Arabidopsis thaliana: one gene and its partners. The protein of the gene in region 4 interacts with the protein of the main gene of each other region in a pairwise test. Each region holds a gene or a part of one and is shown on either strand. Other genes may lie near its edges. The genes, in order: NF-YC11, NF-YC6, NF-YC7 and NF-YB7.

What was found.
Region 1: the proteins of NF-YB7 (region 4) and NF-YC11 interact in a two-hybrid assay, tested with the Arabidopsis thaliana proteins (2 studies listed by BioGRID).
Region 2: the proteins of NF-YB7 (region 4) and NF-YC6 interact in a two-hybrid assay, tested with the Arabidopsis thaliana proteins (2 studies listed by BioGRID).
Region 3: the proteins of NF-YB7 (region 4) and NF-YC7 interact in binary tests that used the Arabidopsis thaliana proteins (3 or more experiments, as listed by UniProt).

Annotation. Positions count from the first base shown.
Region 1 is NC_003074.8:3,955,131-3,962,048, reverse strand, and holds NF-YC11 (nuclear factor Y, subunit C11), read right to left. Parts: upstream 4,287-6,918; 5' UTR 3,985-4,286; coding exon 3,952-3,984; intron 3,215-3,951; coding exon 3,142-3,214; intron 3,051-3,141; coding exon 2,957-3,050; intron 2,639-2,956; coding exon 2,504-2,638; intron 2,416-2,503; coding exon 2,358-2,415; intron 2,260-2,357; coding exon 1,771-2,259; 3' UTR 1,577-1,770; downstream 1-1,576. Other genes in the region: CYSB (cystatin B), read left to right, coding at 173-373, 619-838, 958-1,103, 1,389-1,526; AT3G12470 (Polynucleotidyl transferase, ribonuclease H-like superfamily protein), read left to right, coding at 5,264-5,926; AT3G12460 (Polynucleotidyl transferase, ribonuclease H-like superfamily protein), read left to right, coding at 6,626-6,918.
Region 2 is NC_003076.8:20,557,074-20,560,193, forward strand, and holds NF-YC6 (nuclear factor Y, subunit C6), read right to left. Parts: upstream 1,415-3,120; 5' UTR 1,392-1,414; coding exon 783-1,391; 3' UTR 501-782; downstream 1-500. UniProt on the Arabidopsis thaliana protein: Stimulates the transcription of various genes by recognizing and binding to a CCAAT motif in promoters.
Region 3 is NC_003076.8:20,552,972-20,557,522, reverse strand, and holds NF-YC7 (nuclear factor Y, subunit C7), read left to right. Parts: upstream 1-1,764; coding exon 1,765-2,403; downstream 2,404-4,551. UniProt on the Arabidopsis thaliana protein: Stimulates the transcription of various genes by recognizing and binding to a CCAAT motif in promoters.
Region 4 is NC_003071.7:5,653,846-5,659,437, forward strand, and holds NF-YB7 (nuclear factor Y, subunit B7), read right to left. Parts: upstream 2,674-5,592; 5' UTR 2,645-2,673; coding exon 1,997-2,644; 3' UTR 1,546-1,996; downstream 1-1,545. Other genes in the region: NAD-ME1 (NAD-dependent malic enzyme 1), read left to right, coding at 72-126, 234-305, 652-714, 809-923, 1,184-1,258.

The DNA of each region.
Region 1 (6,918 bases), on a different chromosome or scaffold from region 4:
TTCATAAATCAGAGCCTAAACTTAAAACTGTACCAACAAAACCAACATCAAACCAAATGGACACCTTAATCCGGTACACGGCGAATTAACTGTAGAGGATAAAATCAACAATTCGACGAGTAAAACGAAAAATATCTAAAAATACAGGGCACCGAACCAAATAAAGGTGAGAATGATGAGAAGCCGTTTCTTACTCTTCATTGTTTTCTTCTCTCTATCCCTCTTCATTTCCTCTCTGATCGCCAGTGATTTAGGCTTCTGCAACGAAGAGATGGCTTTAGTCGGAGGTGTTGGCGATGTCCCTGCTAATCAGAACAGTGGTGAGGTTGAGAGCCTCGCTCGTTTCGCTGTCGATGAACACAACAAGAAAGAGGTTCCAAATCTCTCATCATCTTCGATTTTTTCACATCTCTCGTCTCGATATGTGTGTTTTATGCTATTATAGTCTTGATCCAGAACACGATTAGACTAATTTTGTCCGGAGTTTCTCTATTGATCTCAATTTCAGTTACCAGCAGATCTTAGAGAGTGTATATTATTCGGTGATGAAATGCGTTCATGTTGTGGGATTGATTGATTGATTGATTTTTTGGTTTGTTCTGTCTTTGGTCGTCGTAGAATGCACTTCTTGAGTTTGCGAGAGTTGTGAAGGCGAAAGAACAAGTTGTAGCCGGAACACTGCATCACCTGACTCTGGAGATTCTCGAGGCAGGACAGAAGAAGCTTTACGAAGCCAAAGTGTGGGTCAAGCCGTGGTTGAACTTTAAAGAGTTACAGGAGTTCAAGCCTGCCAGTGATGCCCCTGCTATCACTTCCTCCGATCTTGGCTGCAAGCAAGGTGTGAATTTGAGTAGTTACTGATAAGAACATTATAATGTCAGGGGATATATATGTAGCAAGTCAGAGATTGTGGGTTAGGAAAGAGTTTGGTTATGAAAATTGGGTTTTGTGGATCAGGTGAACATGAATCTGGATGGAGGGAAGTTCCCGGAGATGATCCAGAAGTGAAGCATGTTGCTGAGCAGGCTGTCAAGACCATTCAGCAGAGGTCTAACTCCTTGTTCCCTTATGAACTTCTGGAGGTTGTGCATGCTAAAGCTGAGGTATGGCTTTAATTTACTATATACTCTATCTTCGATCTTAATTGCACAAAATGAATTTCAATAGAGAACTTGTCAGATTTTGACAATGTTTTTGCATGAATTTCATCTGAGAAATTGCAAATAAACGAAATCAAGTGTCAGTGAAACCGAATGGTGTTGAAGTTTTAGAAGTAGAAAAGACTTTAAGCAACATATTGGTTCTCCTTGGTATGAGGACTAACGTCTGAGTTGTAATAGTTGGTGATTACAAGATTAATGAGCTTAATATTAAAAACATGGACACAGGTAACCGGCGAGGCTGCAAAATACAACATGCTACTGAAGTTGAAGAGGGGAGAAAAAGAGGAAAAGTTCAAGGTGGAAGTTCACAAGAACCATGAAGGTGCTCTTCATCTCAACCACGCGGAGCAACACCATGACTAGTCCCTCTCCTTTGTTTATGTACTTTTGAGTGTTTACTTACTCTGTAAGATATTTTAACTTCTGATGTAAAACTCTAAAACCTTAAATAACAAATCAGGAGAATAAATTAAGTTTCATAGAGTGCATGCAATCTTTGGTTCATACAATAAATGGAAACAGGAGAAGATTTTGATGACAGAAGAAGCATTTTCTAGACAAACTGCTAAACGCTGCTACTCTATATATCCTATAGTGCTGTTATGACTTAGCCTTCTTCGTCATAATCTTCCTCATCCTCGTCTATCCTCTTACCCAGACTAGCAAGCTGTGCTGGATCCATTTTGCTTATGTCCATCATAGGCCAGCCCGAATACTCCTCAGAGTCTGTTGCTGCAGTTGTGGTTGTGGTTGTGCCTGTGGCTGGTGCCAGTTTGGTCTCGTTTAGGTCGAGGGATTCAGCGTTGAGATCAAAGTCAATGCCTTCTTTGGGACTTTGAAGGTGTTGCTTGGTGTCTTCGTTCGATGCTGCTGTGCCGTCGATGCCTTTCTTCTCATCCTCTTGTGGTGATGACTCTGACGCATGCATCTTGACATTGTCTTCTGGTGGTGGCTGTCCAGAATTGGCGGCTTCTACTTCCATCTCGCGGTTGAGACCCTCTCTTTCGGCTGCTTTTGCAGCTCGTCCACCACGACCTCTTCCTCGCCCTCTTCCTCTACCACCCCTGCCACTGGTCTTAGCACTCCCTATCTCTTGCTGCAGTGATTACCAATATATTCAATGAATCTAAGGAGCTGGGAATAGACACCAAATGAATGATGAAGTATAATATTTCAAGAAGAACACGAGCTCACCGTTTTGCTTTTCTTATATTCCTCGTCACTGTCATTCACTTCATCGCTGATGGGCTTCCTGTTTTGATAAACCATCTCACATCAGCTTGACACGGACTATAAACAAAGAACTAGAACATATGGAACTAAGAGATCAAACATCCAACCTTCTCTTGGAGATGCTGCGATCATCCATGGTAACATCACCATGTCCTTGCCCTTGGGAATGGCCATAGTCAGGCACCTTACTCACAACTTCCCTCAGAAAATCAAACACGTTATATCTTTCCACACAATGTTTTCTGTAAACAACAAAGCACTTTGATAAACATGGATGAGCAAAAATAAGAACTTTATCCCAAATTTGTGGTATAAAATTCTGTAACAGTAAACAACATCCTCTCGGTGTTGGATGCAGTGAAAATAGGCCCTATGAGTTGGAAGCTATTCCGCTTAACAACATCATGTTAACTCTTAAACCACAATATCAATAATTACAACATCTGAAAGCTCTAGAATTTAAAATGCATTCAAGTGAAACCTTTCATGCTCTTTAGATAATGACGATGCTAGCATGCAGAGTTAAAGCAAAAATAAAGGTAAACCAATCTGTTACTTACAGGTGCAATGAGCTCACAGTCTTGGCACCTCTTTCAAGGGTAATTTCATATGTACGATCACAAAGGTCTTGCAAGAACAACTCCAAAGATTTTGCTGTAATAAGAGAACATGAAATTTAGCCAAAGGGTAAAGTTTCCAATAATTCTCTTTTCAAACTGAAGTCAATGATAGCAAGATGACTTACAGACTAAGACAGGCACTGCCAAAGCTATCTTGCCAACATCCTCATCAGCTTGCATAATCTTTTTAATACGAGCCTGAAAAATTGTAATATATGCATCAAATGAAGAAACAGCAACCATCACACAGTGTGTGTGGCAATAATTACAGACTACTAAACGAATTATAAAGCAAATGGTAGAACTGAGAAACACCAAGCACGCTCTGTACAATCACCAATCAGATTATACAAACAAAAATATATTAACAAATTAAATGGAAAGTCAAAATCTGTGAAAAACTAATATTCTAGCCTCAGCTCAAACAAAATAAACCACCATCAACAATAACCAACTTATGAAATCATCTGACGTTTTATTCAATAAAGCTAAACAAAATCTAGCTAGCCAAATTGGAAGCTCTACAAAAAGTTCCAAGCCTATGAAAAAACAATTCGTGTATAACATCCCTGCTTCAATCAACACTATCTAACCAATAGCTGACTGGTTTGTTGATAAAGAACACGTTTCGAGCACTAGTCACCTAAATTCTCGAATTCTCTAATTTACATGAAACATTCCATAGCGGATCTTCATAACACATATTACTATAGCTATATAACAAGCACAACAAAAATTAGGGTGAAATTGACTACTAGGTCATTTGCTAAAACTAATTCGCCAGAAATGAGATACTTAATCTAATTTTCATCGTAGAACACTAATCTAATCCCAAATAGTGTTGGAAATTCGATCTGAAAAACAACAGATCAAAGTAATTTCCGAGAAATTGGACTTCAATTTCAGAAATGATCAATTAGAGACGAAAAACTTACAGCTGGGAACCGAGTATCGAGCTTCTTCCTCATGGTTTTGAAATCCCCAAATCCAGAAATCGTCGAATGAGAAAACGCAAAGCCACCAAAAATAAGAAGGAAAAAAAGGTAAACCCGACCCTTGAGATCAAAAATTGAGGGACGCGAATCTTCTGTACATATACTCCGTTCTAAGATCAGAAAGTAAGTTTCTTCGTCTTCTACTTCATGGATATGCACTATCAGATCCGGCGACGGCGGTTTCCTTGTTACAATCTCCGTGCGATGGAAAAATTAAAATTAAATATATATAATCAAATTAAAGTTTTGGGTCAAAGAAAAAAAATGGGTCGACGACATGGTTATTTAATTAAGTAATGTTAGTTATAAATATACGGCGGAGCACAAAATATAATCGGATTGTTTGAAAAGATCTAACCATACACGTGGCTATGTATTAGTGGATTGTATACGTTTTCTCGTGACAGTATTAATTCTTAGATCTTCATCCACCTTCTCTATTTTTTATTTATTGGATTTTGTTTGAGGATAATGCATCCTTGTAAGTTGTAACACATATGCCTGAACCAAAAAATATGTTTTGGGTTACTTTTTTTTATCACAATTTAAATAAAATAAAGTTAGAATTATTTGTCTTCAAGTTGAATTTAGATACTTATAAACCAAACTGTCGAATTTTAGAAAAAAAAAACAGAAACCACCTTTATTATAAAGTGTGATAAAACAAAGTGGCCTATGTATCCAAAGTTCCAAACAAAATGTTGTGGAATTTATATTTACAACTTTTTTATTTTTTCAGAAGTTATATTTAAAGTTACAAAATTTTGTCAAACCAATATATAGGAAAAAATATCAAGAGTAATTGCGTCATAGCGTTATACGTTGAAAGTTAACTTCATCAGTAATTATGATTTTACATCAGTGAATCATTGTTCGTGAAAAAAACACACAAAAAAAGGTTATGGTTATCTACCTAATTAAGCCCCCAAATAACTGAATAAACTATTTTAGTAAAAAGAAGTACGTAAAAAAGTATTATATTCCATGTCTTCATCAAACCTTTATGGAAATAAAAATAAAAATTCAGAGCCGTAAAATACAGTAATTAGTAAATGTTTTGCGTATACATCTATGATAGGCCTGACGATGTGACAGTACATGCATCTCCATTGTCAACCGTACGATTAAAACTACAAAGATCGACGGTGATTATAACTAGAAACAAAAATGTACCCTATAACAAGAAAAAGAAACCGCTTCTCTTTCTAACACTCGCTCAAAAATTTAGAGAAAGGAAGAAGAAGACAGATCAATGGCTCCGACGATCAAAAGAATCAGAAGTTTCCGTACTCACCAAAAACACTTTGTCGATTTTTTCGGAGACGACTTGATCGTCACCGTTACGCCGACTGCTTCCGTTATCCGCCGCTGGATTCGTAGCGTCCGCTCCTACAACCGTAATCACTCGGTACATCCTCTCGTCGTTGGAATCGGTGTTCAGTGGAGACCGGATAGTTCCGATCCAGATCCACCACCAAAAACTCTCCAGTTGTGCGTCGGTAGTCGCTGTCTCATCATCCAACTAGGTTACAATTACGGTCTCCCAAAAGTCCTCCGCACTTTCCTTGCCGATCCCAAAACGACTTTCGTCGGCGTTTGGAACGGCCAAGACCAGAAAAAACTCGAGAAATGTAGGCATCGAGTGGAGATCGGGAAGCTTCTGGACATAAGGATGTTCGTGAGAGATTCGAGAGGGGCTAGGATGTGTTTTTGTTCGTTTGAACAGATCGTGAAGGAGCGTTTGGGTCGCGTAGGAGTGAGGTTAGATCCGGCGATTTGTATGAGCGATTGGGGCGTTTATAACCTTAACCATTATCAGGTACTTCAGGCGTCGATTGAGTCGTATGTTTGCTTTAAGCTCGCTGTTGAGGAACGTCTCTGGAACTTAAAAGTTGCTGCTAATCTTGTGATTTGAATTTGTTGTTGTTCTTCTCTCTTTATCAATCAACGTCTTCTTCTAATTCATGAAAGTTTTCATGTTATCGTATTTTGTGACTATGAATGTTGACTGGAAAATTAGTACATGTAGACTACGTTTGTAATAAAGGCATTGATATTAAAAGACTATCTAACGTTTTGATTAAAAACAAATACGCTTTGATGAATTATATTATCAATTTTGTTTAATTTGACATGGGACAAAAAAAATCACGACGTACCAAATTGGTCAATCAAATGTTTTTGCACCCAGTTAAATGATTTCCGATTTTTAAACTGGATATAACCTCAAGCAAGATCAAGGATACGAGTTTACAACTGAGATGCGTTTATCAATCCTAATCTTGATTTAGGATAATACTAATTTTTAGGAGTATATAACATTAGCTAACGTAATCTGATAAACTATACTCAAAATATTCTCCATAATTCAAATTTCGAGATCTTTATAAGAAATTCTTTTTGAATTCAAATCAGTAATAACCATTAAGGTTTGGCGTAGGTTAATGACGTCACACTGCATCTCAACCGTCCAAATTTAACTGCATTTATTTTCAAAAAGATCAATGGTGATAGCGAGCACCAGTACTACAATTTAACTAGCCTCCGACGATTGCAAAAGGAGAAGAAAGCAGTTTCATCATTATCTCTGCTTGAAAAACTGAAGGCAAAATCAATGGCTCCGACAATCAGAACCATCGGATCTTACGCTACTCAGCAAAGGTACTCAGTCGATTTCTTTGGAGAAGAGCTTTTCGTCACCGTAACGCCGGATCCTTCCGTCATCGGCCAATGGATTCACGACGTCTTCTTCCACAACCGTCTCTCTTCTCACCCTCTCGTCGTTGGAGTCGGCGTTCAGTGGACACCCTCTGGTTACCACCCTGCTTCTCCACCGGTTAGTTATCGTTCCGATTCTTCTCCGGACAGTTATCGCTCCGATTCTCCACCGGTTTTCTATAGCTCCGA
Region 2 (3,120 bases), on a different chromosome or scaffold from region 4:
AAGGTTACCCAATTTGTTTTTGCTATAAAAAGCTTTATTTAAAAAACAAAATCAGGCTTATTATTTTTAAAACAAAAAATGGGGTTTTGAACTATAATTTTGGGCTAATTATAAGTTGTTTTATAAAATATGGGTTTTTTATATATCAATTTTACTTCAAAAATAAAAAAAGTCTTGACCCTCACACCTTACGACTCACCCATTGGGTCGAGGTTGATGATAACAAGCTCGGCCCAAATAGGATGGGCAAAAGGGCAGTAGCCCATGATTCCATGATTTTTTCTGAATTATTTTTTAAAAAGGCCATATTTTATAAAAAAATTAATTTGACTGAAAATATCTAATAAATGGCCCAATATATTTGGAGAAAAAAACTTTTACATGAAATGGGGCCCTTAATATTACTTTAAAAAAATAATTAATTTGTAATCGGATTAGAAGGAGAGTAATCGAATGAGTGATTTTTTAAGGGATTAGTCATTAATCATGGATAGAATGGACTTAACGATTAAGCGGAGAGTAACCGGATATGATGGACTTAGCGATTAAACGGAGAGTAACCGGTGTTAGGCGGAGGATTTTAGAACAAGATATTATGTAAGAGACTAACTCCAAAAGACAATCAAATTCTCAGAAAAGCGCTTACAAGTCTACTAAAAAAAACAATTTGCCTTCCACACATTGTTTACATGAAAGCAAATCCGACGAATTGAAGAACCCTAATAAACACCACCAAATTTCAAATTTCCCACATAGGCGGTTACAAACCCTAAATCTACACTTCAATTTCCGCCGCCGTTTCCTCCATTATCCTCAGCATCATCCTCCCCGTCACCAGCCGCTGCTGGCCACGCCTGCGATGGCGCGTACATTCCACTACCAACCATAGGAGTTCCCATCACCACTCCCGGTGGATAATAATATTGCGGTACTCCTCCACCGTCAGGATGTGGCATAGCCACAAAGCCAGGATCAGCGGTGGCGATAGACTCGTCCTTAGGGACAACATCAAGAAGGAAATCGTAGGTGAAAGAGCTAGCCACTGCGTTGGAGATATCCGATTTCTGAAGCGTGTGGCGTTTGTTCTCCTCGGCTTTGAGCCACGACCGCATCGTGAGATCAACGATGAACATTTCGCAAGCCTTTGCGAAGATGATCGGAGCCTCTGCGGAGACCATGTGCACATCTGGATCAGCCTTCATGATCTTCTTAATTCGAGCCAATGGAAGCTGACGGTTTTTGAAATCCGAGACGGTTTCCATCTGCTCAATCCAGTAATTACGTAACTGAGGGTTGGATGATGCCATCGGCGGCAGCTGCGAGTACGACGGTGGTTGCTGGTGGTTGTCGTTGTTCATGTTGTCGCCGTTGTTGTTGTTGTTCTCAGCCATTTACAATTTCTAGGGATTTGGATGTTGGAAGTGAGATTTTTATCGGAGGGTTTGGCTGGCATATATTTAAAGGAAACCTAAAAGCGTAGATGGCTTTAAAGCAGTCAAATGTGAATCTTTACACATATAATATTTTCTTTATTATTATGGCTTTTTTTGTGAGAATAATTATAATTGTGACTTATGTGTGTGACTGGTTATTATTATTAAAATGAAAAAGAAAATGGTGAAAGATTTTTTTTTAATCCATATTAAGATGAGAAAGCTAAAGATATCTGATTCCCTATAAAATTGAAAGGTAAAAAATGTTGTTAAGAAGTTATTTTCGTATAATGAAACGAAATTGAAAGTCAACAATTTTTTGCAAAGATTTCATACATTTAATTTTTTCTAGTTGTATAGTGCTACAAATATTGAATTTTGACACCGTTTTGGGTAAGAAATCCACACATTAAATATTTTTTCTTTCCTTTTTTTGGGTAAGAAATCCAAACATTAAACATTTTTTCTTTTTTTTTTTGGCAAAGATTTTTTTTTTCTAAATGATAAATAATACAAGGAAGTAAATCTTAGTGTAGCCACCCATAAAAGTAATATTTAGTTTTTGTAATATGTAAAATTGAAATATAATAAAGTAATACTTAATTTTTCATAAATTATTTTATAACTTTTTATTATGTTGATGATATTCCATGTTATAAAACAATTAATCAATGTTTTTATATCCAACCCGGACCGTACAATACTACCGGTTAACCCACAATTCGGACATTTCTTCTATTTGGGTTTAGTGTTAACATTTGACAATCTTAAAACCCAAAGAGTCCCATAAAAATCGTCTTTGACACACGATCTGGTGAACCAACCAAGTATCGAATCATGAGAATCATATATATGAAAGTTGTCCAACTTTTTCCATCTTTCCGATACATCAATACTAGAGAGAGTGACAATGTCATAACAACATATTAATTACACTAATTATTTAATTTAATGTATTTAAGAATTTAAAATTATTCATTAATTCGTTCTTATATAAAATTTGACATGTTTTAACTTAATTAATTAAATAATTTTAGTTTAATTAGGTACAAAGTATATCAAACTGATATATAAATAACTTATCTAATTTTAGTTTTATAAATCGTATAAACTTAAGCATAACTTAAAATCAAAAGAATTTTAATGAAATTTTAGATTTTATTTAAGTATAAAAATTAAAAAAATATGATATAAGAATTTTATTTCATGTTTTCATATACTATAATATATATTGGATTAGTGACAATGAGTATTAGTTGAATTTATGATTTATTTTAAACTAAATATAAGATACTAAATCGACACTACTTTTTGTTTATTTAGAAATAACAATTATTTCTTAAAGGTAAGTAATTGTAAATAAGTTTTAAACAATGTAATTAAAAACAAAAACAAGTATACAAAATGAATTATTTACTCGAGAGTTAGAGAAATATATAGAAATGATAATTAGAAAAAACAAAAACAAAAATAATTCAATTAATAACTTCCTCATAAGAGTTCGCTAAAACCGCGCTAAAATTTCTTGAAAGACAAAATTCAAATAAATCGTTTGTGCGCCAAATTCCGTTGGAAAACAAAGAATAAGAACGAAAAATGAGTTGGAAAATTTTTAAAATAGATTCAGGTTTCAAAATAAGTTTTTTTTGCTAGATCTCTGGATCTTGTTGCCTCTAGAATGTAATCT
Region 3 (4,551 bases), on a different chromosome or scaffold from region 4:
TTACTCTCCTTCTAATCCGATTACAAATTAATTATTTTTTTAAAGTAATATTAAGGGCCCCATTTCATGTAAAAGTTTTTTTCTCCAAATATATTGGGCCATTTATTAGATATTTTCAGTCAAATTAATTTTTTTATAAAATATGGCCTTTTTAAAAAATAATTCAGAAAAAATCATGGAATCATGGGCTACTGCCCTTTTGCCCATCCTATTTGGGCCGAGCTTGTTATCATCAACCTCGACCCAATGGGTGAGTCGTAAGGTGTGAGGGTCAAGACTTTTTTTATTTTTGAAGTAAAATTGATATATAAAAAACCCATATTTTATAAAACAACTTATAATTAGCCCAAAATTATAGTTCAAAACCCCATTTTTTGTTTTAAAAATAATAAGCCTGATTTTGTTTTTTAAATAAAGCTTTTTATAGCAAAAACAAATTGGGTAACCTTACATCTCTAATTTTATTTGGGATGGGGCTGATTATCATCACAAGGACTATGCATAAATGTTTTCAATAACTCCATATCAATAAAAAATAATCTGGTTTGATTGCTTTTATCCAGCTAACTAAATTTCACACCAAATGTTGAACTCATCATTGTTTTTTCTAGATTTTGCATGATTCGTTTGTTCAAGTAATCAGGTTCGACTTTCGATTAAAGCCTAAAAATCTCATGAAACAAAGGTTTTAGGCAAAGAACTCTCTATATAAATATATAGGCGCATCATTTCATAAAAAGTTTATTTCCGAAAAGTTGATGGATATCCGCTTTAGGTGACCAGTTCGATCCTAATTTCCTAACTTTTGTAATTTCTTTTTAACAGGTGACGGCAAATTATGTTTGGACCGGCCCTAAAAGTAGTAATTATTTCCTTTAAAAATAATATCTAAGGTTAAGAGAAACATATTCTTTACATAAACAATATCTTTGGATGTTTAAATTTTAAGCTTGATATTTTAACGAACTTTGGCGCGAAAACCATCTATTCAAATATCTCTTTCCACCACTTGTGTTTTCATTGATTTGGAATTGTTATCTGCATTGAGATATCTTTGAATGATGAAACATGTTCCTTTGCTACCTTTAAATTAATGCTTCAGATTAGATCGGTCTCATGCACAAGACAAATTGACATACATATTTGCATCTTTGAAATGCTGACAATATTTGCAATCTCCTAAGAATGATAACACAAAGAAGCAGGCCAAGCATTGGATTTTAAGTACACAACTATAGCTTTTTCACTCGAAGCCAAAGTCACCTTATCTATGCGGAAACTCCACATACTTTCCATTGCGCATTAGAAAATTCTCAGTTTGGTATCTTCCCACTAATTACCACTCCAAGGCACCACTTATAGTTTTCTTCTTTGACTAATCAGATCTTGGGCACAAAACCATTGACGACATTCCTCATATGCTAGCTTTCACATACTTCCCTAAATTGGTTAGTATAAAATCCACCTTATCTAAAGCTATAGTTGACTAATAGCTTTCACCTTATCTAAATTTTATAAGTTTTAAAATTTATAAAATCCAAAAAGTATTGGTTAACAAAAATTTATAATGAATAGAAAGTGAGGTTTTGTATTTTGGGATTTCACATATATTAGTAAATATTGTATAACACAAAACAAAATATTAATAAAAAATAAATTTTATTTTTGAGAAAATAGTTGGGCTGATTTCGTAGCCCACTTAATCAGCCTTTAAATATGGAAACCCTAGCCTAGAAAGTGAACAAGAAAAACGTAAAGATCAAAATGGAAGAGAACAACGGCAACAACAACCACTACCTGCCGCAACCATCGTCTTCCCAACTGCCGCCGCCACCATTGTATTATCAATCAATGCCGTTGCCGTCATATTCACTGCCGCTGCCGTACTCACCGCAGATGCGGAATTATTGGATTGCGCAGATGGGAAACGCAACTGATGTTAAGCATCATGCGTTTCCACTAACCAGGATAAAGAAAATCATGAAGTCCAACCCGGAAGTGAACATGGTCACTGCAGAGGCTCCGGTCCTTATATCGAAGGCCTGTGAGATGCTCATTCTTGATCTCACAATGCGATCGTGGCTTCATACCGTGGAGGGCGGTCGCCAAACTCTCAAGAGATCCGATACGCTCACGAGATCCGATATCTCCGCCGCAACGACTCGTAGTTTCAAATTTACCTTCCTTGGCGACGTTGTCCCAAGAGACCCTTCCGTCGTTACCGATGATCCCGTGCTACATCCGGACGGTGAAGTACTTCCTCCGGGAACGGTGATAGGATATCCGGTGTTTGATTGTAATGGTGTGTACGCGTCACCGCCACAGATGCAGGAGTGGCCGGCGGTGCCTGGTGACGGAGAGGAGGCAGCTGGGGAAATTGGAGGAAGCAGCGGCGGTAATTGAAAAGTGTTGATTGGGTTTTAGGGTTGTAATGCTTTTGTGAGAATTTGTATCTCTATCGAGTCATGTTTGTTGTTGTTGTTGTTATTATGTTTTGCTTTCGTTAATGTCATGTGTTCTGTTGTTGTTGGTGTTATGTGTAGTCTTCCATGTGAAATATCACATAGAAGACTAAACATAACATCAACAACACCAAAACACATGGCATTAACGAAAGCAAATGGAAGACAATGGAATTTTAGTTAACTCTTATTTTCTTCTTTGCTTTAGATTAGTTTATGCCAAAGAATCACCAAAATATTCGCAGTTCATTACGAAAAAACACAATGAACTAGGCATAAATGTCAATTACCATAAAAAACATATACTACTAGCTCCATCTTCTAGTTATCCTTTATGAAAGTAGAAAATCCCCATGGCTCATGGTATTAATTTTGTATACGTTGTGAATATGTAGGCATCATGATCTTAGGATCTAGTAAGAGATCTTTTTGAATCCCGAATCTATGTTCGTAAATTTTCCAGCATTTTGATTTTAAAATGGATTTTCGCGTGAAAGTTATACTCCGGTTTTATTATGCAACGAAATTTTACTTGCAAACCGCTGATATATTATTCCAGTTTTCTCAATTTGGCATGAGTTGTTTCTCACATAGTATATTTCGTTTTCAAGATATGAACATCTAATGTGTAAAAGATCTATTGAAAATATAGTTGTGGAACACCTTGAAAATTGTTGTGGATAACAAGTGTTCGTAAAACAAACATTGTTCGTAACGACCAATTAGGAGCCACATAATAAAACCAAATATTTTCACTTCGTAATCATTAGATAAAAAAAAATCTTTGAATATTTACTTTTTTTTTAAGCAATAAATCTTTCTTCTTATGAAAAGATAGAAAACAATCTAGACAATTTAATTTTTAGAAGCAATAAATCCTTCTGTTTATGAAAAGGGTCCTCACTCTTATATATATACTTGGTTTCATTTTCTTTTTACTTTAAATGGCTACATTAAAGAGTAGCCAGAAAACATAAATAAAAACTCCAAAACACTACTTTCTCGGTTTTATATTATAAGTTGTTTTAGCCAAATTATTTTGATTCTTAACATAAGATGTTTTAGACAAATAATTCAAATTTCTATGCAAGCGTAGAATTTATATACTTTTATGACTATATATATATTATGCAGTAACGAATTTCATTGGCCAAACTCACTTTAATTAACTAAATATTAAATTATGTTTTTAATTTAGAAAAAATATATAAAAAGATAAATTAATTATTTAAACTTTGTGTTTAAACATCATATTTTTTTAAACAATGGGAGTACCATAGTTACCGTTAATTTAGAGAGAAAAAGTTCTTATTTAAAACTTCAAATGTATTCGTTTTATGAGTTTCTAAAAAAACCAACTAAAGATTTTGAGTATGGAGGAAACAACGGCAAAAACTGAAGTGTGGTTTGTAATTTAAGATTTCTAACCGCTTTCGTGAGAATTTGAATTACTTTTCAAGTTATGTTTTTGAATTTAAAGTGTGTAATGTTAGGACCTAAAGACTTGAATTTCCAAATATATTCAAAAAAAAAAATGTTATGATTTTTATTGTGAAAATGGAGAGTGAAGGCAAGTTGTTAGGCATAAAATATGTAGAACAAACAATATGTATTCCTTAAAAAAGGATAAACACTTTGAAGATTTGAAGAAACGAATTTTGGATGCTTCTAGATTTTCAGAATGGATAAAATTCAAAAGAATATGCAACACTCAATTCATATCTCAAAGAGAATGAGGAAAAACTGAGGTATTCTCTATGTTAAGATAAGGAGGCAATAAAGGAGGAAGAGACATAAAATCCTAGAAAAACAATATTGTTCAACAATTGAAATTTTTTCAAACAATCATTCAAGACCTACAGATACAGTATAAATTTATTCTATTGTCAGAAACATGACCATCTAGTAGTATTAGTAGATGAATATGCATATGGCGATCATTGCTTTGATGATCTGAATAAAATCACACTCTTTCTGTTAGTTTCAAATGCTGGAGACTTAAGTTTCTTTACAAATAGATAAATTATCTACTACATCGTTGAATAGAAGTTGAGGAGTAACCAAAACATTTAGTTGAGGAAGTTGTAAC
Region 4 (5,592 bases):
CCTCTGTATCATTTAGCATACGCCATTTTATATGAGGCTTTTTCAAATATTAGTACCTTTTCTTGTGGCAGGAAATGGTCATGTAGGACATTGCAACCAGGGAAACAACATGTATCTATTTCCAGGGTTGGTTCCTCTTGTTTATTGTCCGAAAGAATTGCATACATTCTTGAATTGATACATTAATTGTCATGAAATAAATTGATTTTCTAATCCTGTAAAATTTATTGTAGTATTGGACTTGGCACTCTTTTATCTGGTGCTCCCATTGTCTCCGACGGGATGCTTCAGGCCGCATCCGAGTGGTAAGCTCCTTTCTTTACCTTTTTCATTTATCATTCCTGATTTATTCTCAACTAAAGCTGAAGTGAGTACCATGATATATAACTACGGACCAAATTTAAATGATTATTAAGAATGTCCGCATATTTGGCTGATGTCACGAACTATAACATACCCCCCATCCACGAGACAGGAACCACAGTAGTTCGACATGTTCTCTCCAAATGGTATTCCCAATAGTAGGCCTTCGGTTGAGGTTTCATATTGTAGTTAGTGTAAAACTCATATTTTTAAGGAGACCATGAAAATAAACAAGTCCCGTAATTTATGAATGTGGAATCATGACATTGTTCTGCTAAACTACTGCAGCCTAGCAGCATACATGAGCGAAGAAGAAGTGCTAGAGGGGATTATATACCCTCCAATATCAAGGTAAGAGTAACACAATCAAAGAACATCCTTACTGTTACATAAGAAAATGTTTTGATATAGTTGCTACATTTGGCATGTGGAATTGAAATTTCAGGATACGAGACATAACAAAAAGAATAGCAGCTGCGGTGATTAAGGAAGCGATTGAGGAGGATTTGGTTGAAGGATATAGAGAAATGGACGCTCGAGAGATCCAAAAGCTGGATGAGGTAACAATTCAGCTAATGACTTGCTTTAATATAATCATAAATGATAGAAAAAGAAAAGATGTCAAAACAACATCCCATCTTTCACGTGTTTTGGACTCCTGATCATAAAATCGTATTCTACGAAGAATGTCGATCGGGTTTGATTATATGTAAAGAACAGAAGAGTGTTTACCTGATTTCTCACTTAGAGAAAATAAAGACTAAACCAGAAACTAAGCCTAAATGTTAGTTATGTTGACGCGGTCTTGTGTATTCCGCAGGAGGGGCTGATGGAGTATGTGGAAAACAACATGTGGAATCCAGAGTACCCGACTTTGGTCTACAAGGATGACTAAGTTTGGTTCCCAAAATGAATAAGTCTACTTTCTCTTATTTATATGTAAAAATTTATAATTGGGGTTGCTTTATACCCAATCAAATTCATAGCTACTGCTTTCTCTTGTTCTTATGTAAAAAAAAAAAAAATATATAATTGGGTTGTTTGTTATCCAATCAGATTCATAGCTTCCACTTTCTCTTATTTATATGTAAAAAAGAAGTTATATTCAATCAGATTCATAGCAGCAACATTTTACATACATCGTATTAGAAATGCATTTACTTTTATAACTTATAGTTTCAGGTCAAGATACTAAGAGTAGTGAGTGAGGAACAATTTGAAGTTCTTTAATTCAAGCAATCATCTTTATCAATCATAACATGAGTAAATGAATGAGAAACAATACACCATTCTCTTCCAATTAAGCTATTCTCTACTGGAAACCTTATAAGCTAGACCACTAACTCTCAAACCGTAGGTGGTAAGTATTCTAATCCAATTAGCAGCATGGAATTAGTTTCTACTGTTGTAAATCATGAGAGATTGCTATATTTGCTCGAGACGAACTAATCCGGAAAATATATGAAGACGAATTTCTGTTACACAAAACCATGGGTATACTGAAAATATCAAAATGTACGTGTCTAGTGTCTATATAGCAACAAATATATATAAGCATCAAGATGTACTCACAAAAGGTAAAGAAAAGCATATAATATGTGAAAAGAAAGAAGAAAAAAAGCAAATGTCTCTCTCACCAGTGAATTGAATCAATGTTATTATCATGCTGCTGCGGGAACTGTTTCTGCAATGATTTAGGAGAGAAAGCAATATTGGGAAAAGGTTGATGATCCACTGGTAGGAATGGAGAAGGATGATGATGAGAGATGTAACTAGTACATGACATGTTGTTATTGTTTTGGTCTTGTTCTTGAAACTGATAATTATGATGATTCTGTTGTTGAATCTGCTGTTGTTGTTGTCTTTGTTGTTGTTGTTTTGGGCTGTTAACTTTCTCTCCTTCGGTGTCTCTATATTTGCAGAGGTAGACCTTTAATGGAGCCACGTAGTCTTCGAAACCGAGAGTTGTGATAGCCCAAATGATATCATCTCCATTGATGGTCTTCCTCTTTTCTCTTTGACACTTGTCAGAAGCTTCACCAGTGACGAAACTAATGAACTCCGAGACACATTCTTGAACGGTTTCTTTAGCGTCTTTTGAGATCTTACCGTTACCGGGAAGAACTTTTTTCATGATCCTTCCGACATTCGCAATGGGAAGAAACCGGTCTTGTTCTTTGTTGTTGTTGTTGTTGTTGTTGGTCTTTGAAGAAGGGCTTCCTGGATTTGTTTCAGCTACTCCAGGAGACCCATGATCTTCTTCTGGGCTCTCCTCAGTCATATCTCTATCTCTTTGTTTTTTTTTGTGATTGATGTTAACCACATGTGATCAATCTGATTTTATGGTTAAGCTTAGTGCATGAAACTAGGCAACTTTTCTATTTATGGATACCTTGCCAACCAAATTTGGAACTCCATGCGACTCGCTCCTTTTTTTTTTTTTTTTTTTTTTTCTTTGTTATTTGCCAGATAATAAAGAAAAGTGTAAGAAAATAGCAATCATGTAACATATTGTCATCAAATAGTGTTTTCAATTTATTATTTTCCGTAGTATGTTTATTTAGTATGTAGACAACTATAAATTATCATGTCTCCATAATGCTTTGATTTATTGTATTATAGTAATTTCCTAAACTCTAGCCTGGTAAATATATATGGTGGTTATTTATCCGAGAATATTACACGTAAAGGCACTATTTTGAAACTTTGGCCACAAATAGGCACTTTAAAAGCATTAGTCACTTTAACTCAGTAGAATTACCCCTTTACCCTGAAATCGTTAGTTTAACAAAACCTAACAAATTTAGCCGGTTTTCGGTTTAATTTTTTAATCTCAATCTCTAAACTAAAACCAATTTGTGAGAAACCTCTTTTTCTCACCCAATCCTTCACGACGATTTTACAGTTTCATTTATCTGGGCAGTTAAAATCATCACAACGACGATAACATCATCTCGACTCCGGCGATCATCCCAACGAGTTTTCTACCGGCAAAGTCATTTCCTCGTCCCTCTCCCGTCGTTATCGTCAACAAAGCTTTCAATCGGCCGACATTAATTCGTCCTCTCCCGTCGTCGTCGTCAACACTTGTTCTCCCGTCATGGTCTTCATTTTCTTGTCTCTCAATCGATTCGTCGTCTCCGGCGTGTGCTAGTAACTTCTACTCGGTCCTCAAATGCAAGGTATTAATCTTCTCCAATCATTTTATTTGCTCTAATTATTCAACCGTGTGCTAATTTTATTTATAATATCCAACATTGTGAAGAGCTAATAGGTGAAGACATGAATGCTACGTTAGGTGATATTTCAAAAATGTTAATCACAAGACCTTATCTTCTTACCACAGACTTCGGCTTGCTTATCTCCTCATTGTTGACGGTGTCCTCGTATCCTCAAACCAACCTATTACGTCTACATTAAAATATGTAGAGATGTTGGCAGATTTGGAGAAGTTCCTTAACTGACTGAGGTCTACGTAACTGACTGTCTATACACATGTGGATAAATGGTCAAAGAAACATGGATAATATACTTTGGATTGACGTTTATTGTTCATGTATAAACTTATGTATTAGTATGAAACTATCATGTGAGTCTTTAGATGATCATGGACTGGACTGCTTGGACAATCATTAATGGACAAATATGTCTTTGATTTGCTGCGAATATGTTTATAGCTCGATAAAATTGTATCAACATGTCTATATACATGTGGATAAATGGTCAAAGAAACATGGATAATGTACTTTGGATTGATGTTTATTTGTAAATCTTAATATAAATGTCATCCAGTCATAGTGAATTATCCAATCAGACAAACGAATTAATACAGTTATGTTGTGGATGGATTCATATGGATACATTAACAATTATCTTTATCTTTCAACATGAAAAGCGTTTGATATGGATACATTAACCATATCGATAATCTTATCTCTATATTGCTGTTGAATGTTTTAGTGGTTTGTATCATATTATTTGTTTGTTCCATCCATAACAACATTTTTTCAAGTGCATCTAACATTTGATATCAGTTAACAATGCGAAGAAAAATAAATAATTTTGTGTATTTTGAACTATTGTTTATTTGGTAAATCATTCTAGCTAATTATGTTTACAAATACGTTAAAACTTAATATAAATGTCATCCAGTGATAATGAATTATCCAATCAGACAAACGAATTAATACATTTATATTGTGGATGGATTCTTATGGATACATTATCAATTATCTTTCTCTTTTACCATGAAAGACAAATCTAAAATTCCTTCTACCGGAAATATTGAGATACTGTTGTATAGCGGGAATATTCCCACCATCAGGTTTTAAACTATATTGTTTACAATATGATCAAAAAAAAAAAACATATGCACACTTAGAGACAAAGAGAAGCTCGTCAGCTCTCCCGTCTCAACCAGCTCGTCAGCTCACCCGTCTGAAGCATCTCGTCAGCCGGTCCGTCTCAAGTAGCTCATCAGATCGCCCGTCTCAAGCAGCTCGTCAGCTCACCCATCCGAAGTATCTCGCCAGCCGGCCCGTCTCAAGTAGCTTATAAGCTCGCCCGTCTCAAGCAGCTCGTCAGCTCACCCGTCCGAAGTATCTCGCCAGCCGGCCCGTCTCAAGTAGCTTATCAGCTCGCCCGTCTCAAGCAGCTCGTCAGCTCACCCGTCCGAAGTACCTCGTTTGCCCATCCATCTTGAGTAGCTCGTTTACTCGTCCGTCCGAAGTGTCTCGCCGACTTGCCCGCCCAAAGTAACTAACCTACTCGCACGTCTCGAGAAGCCATTCAACTCGTCACTTATCCGCCGGATCATCCCTAAAACTGCCTAACTCGACATACGACCTTCCTCCAGTAATGGCCTAGCTCGTTTATCGCGATATGAACTACGTGTGGCTTGATCCCTTTCTAAGGGTACGTAGGCAGCCTTTTGCAGTTTATCTTTTATTGGACTTGATATGTTGGATACTAGTTTTTTTGCCGAAACAATTTCTTAAATTTTTTCCATACGAGTTTCTTGTTTAATGGTGCTCAAGTCAAACCTCCAGCACCAACCTGTAGTAAATGCAGTTATCGATGGAGATGATATCATTTACAGAGACTACGTGGATATCAGTATCGCTGTTGGTACCCTCCACTCTAGTTATTCTAAACCTTTCAGATAACTACAACTTCCATCATATTAAGATTTTCAAAGTCTGTAAAAAATGGCTATTGCAGGCCGATACT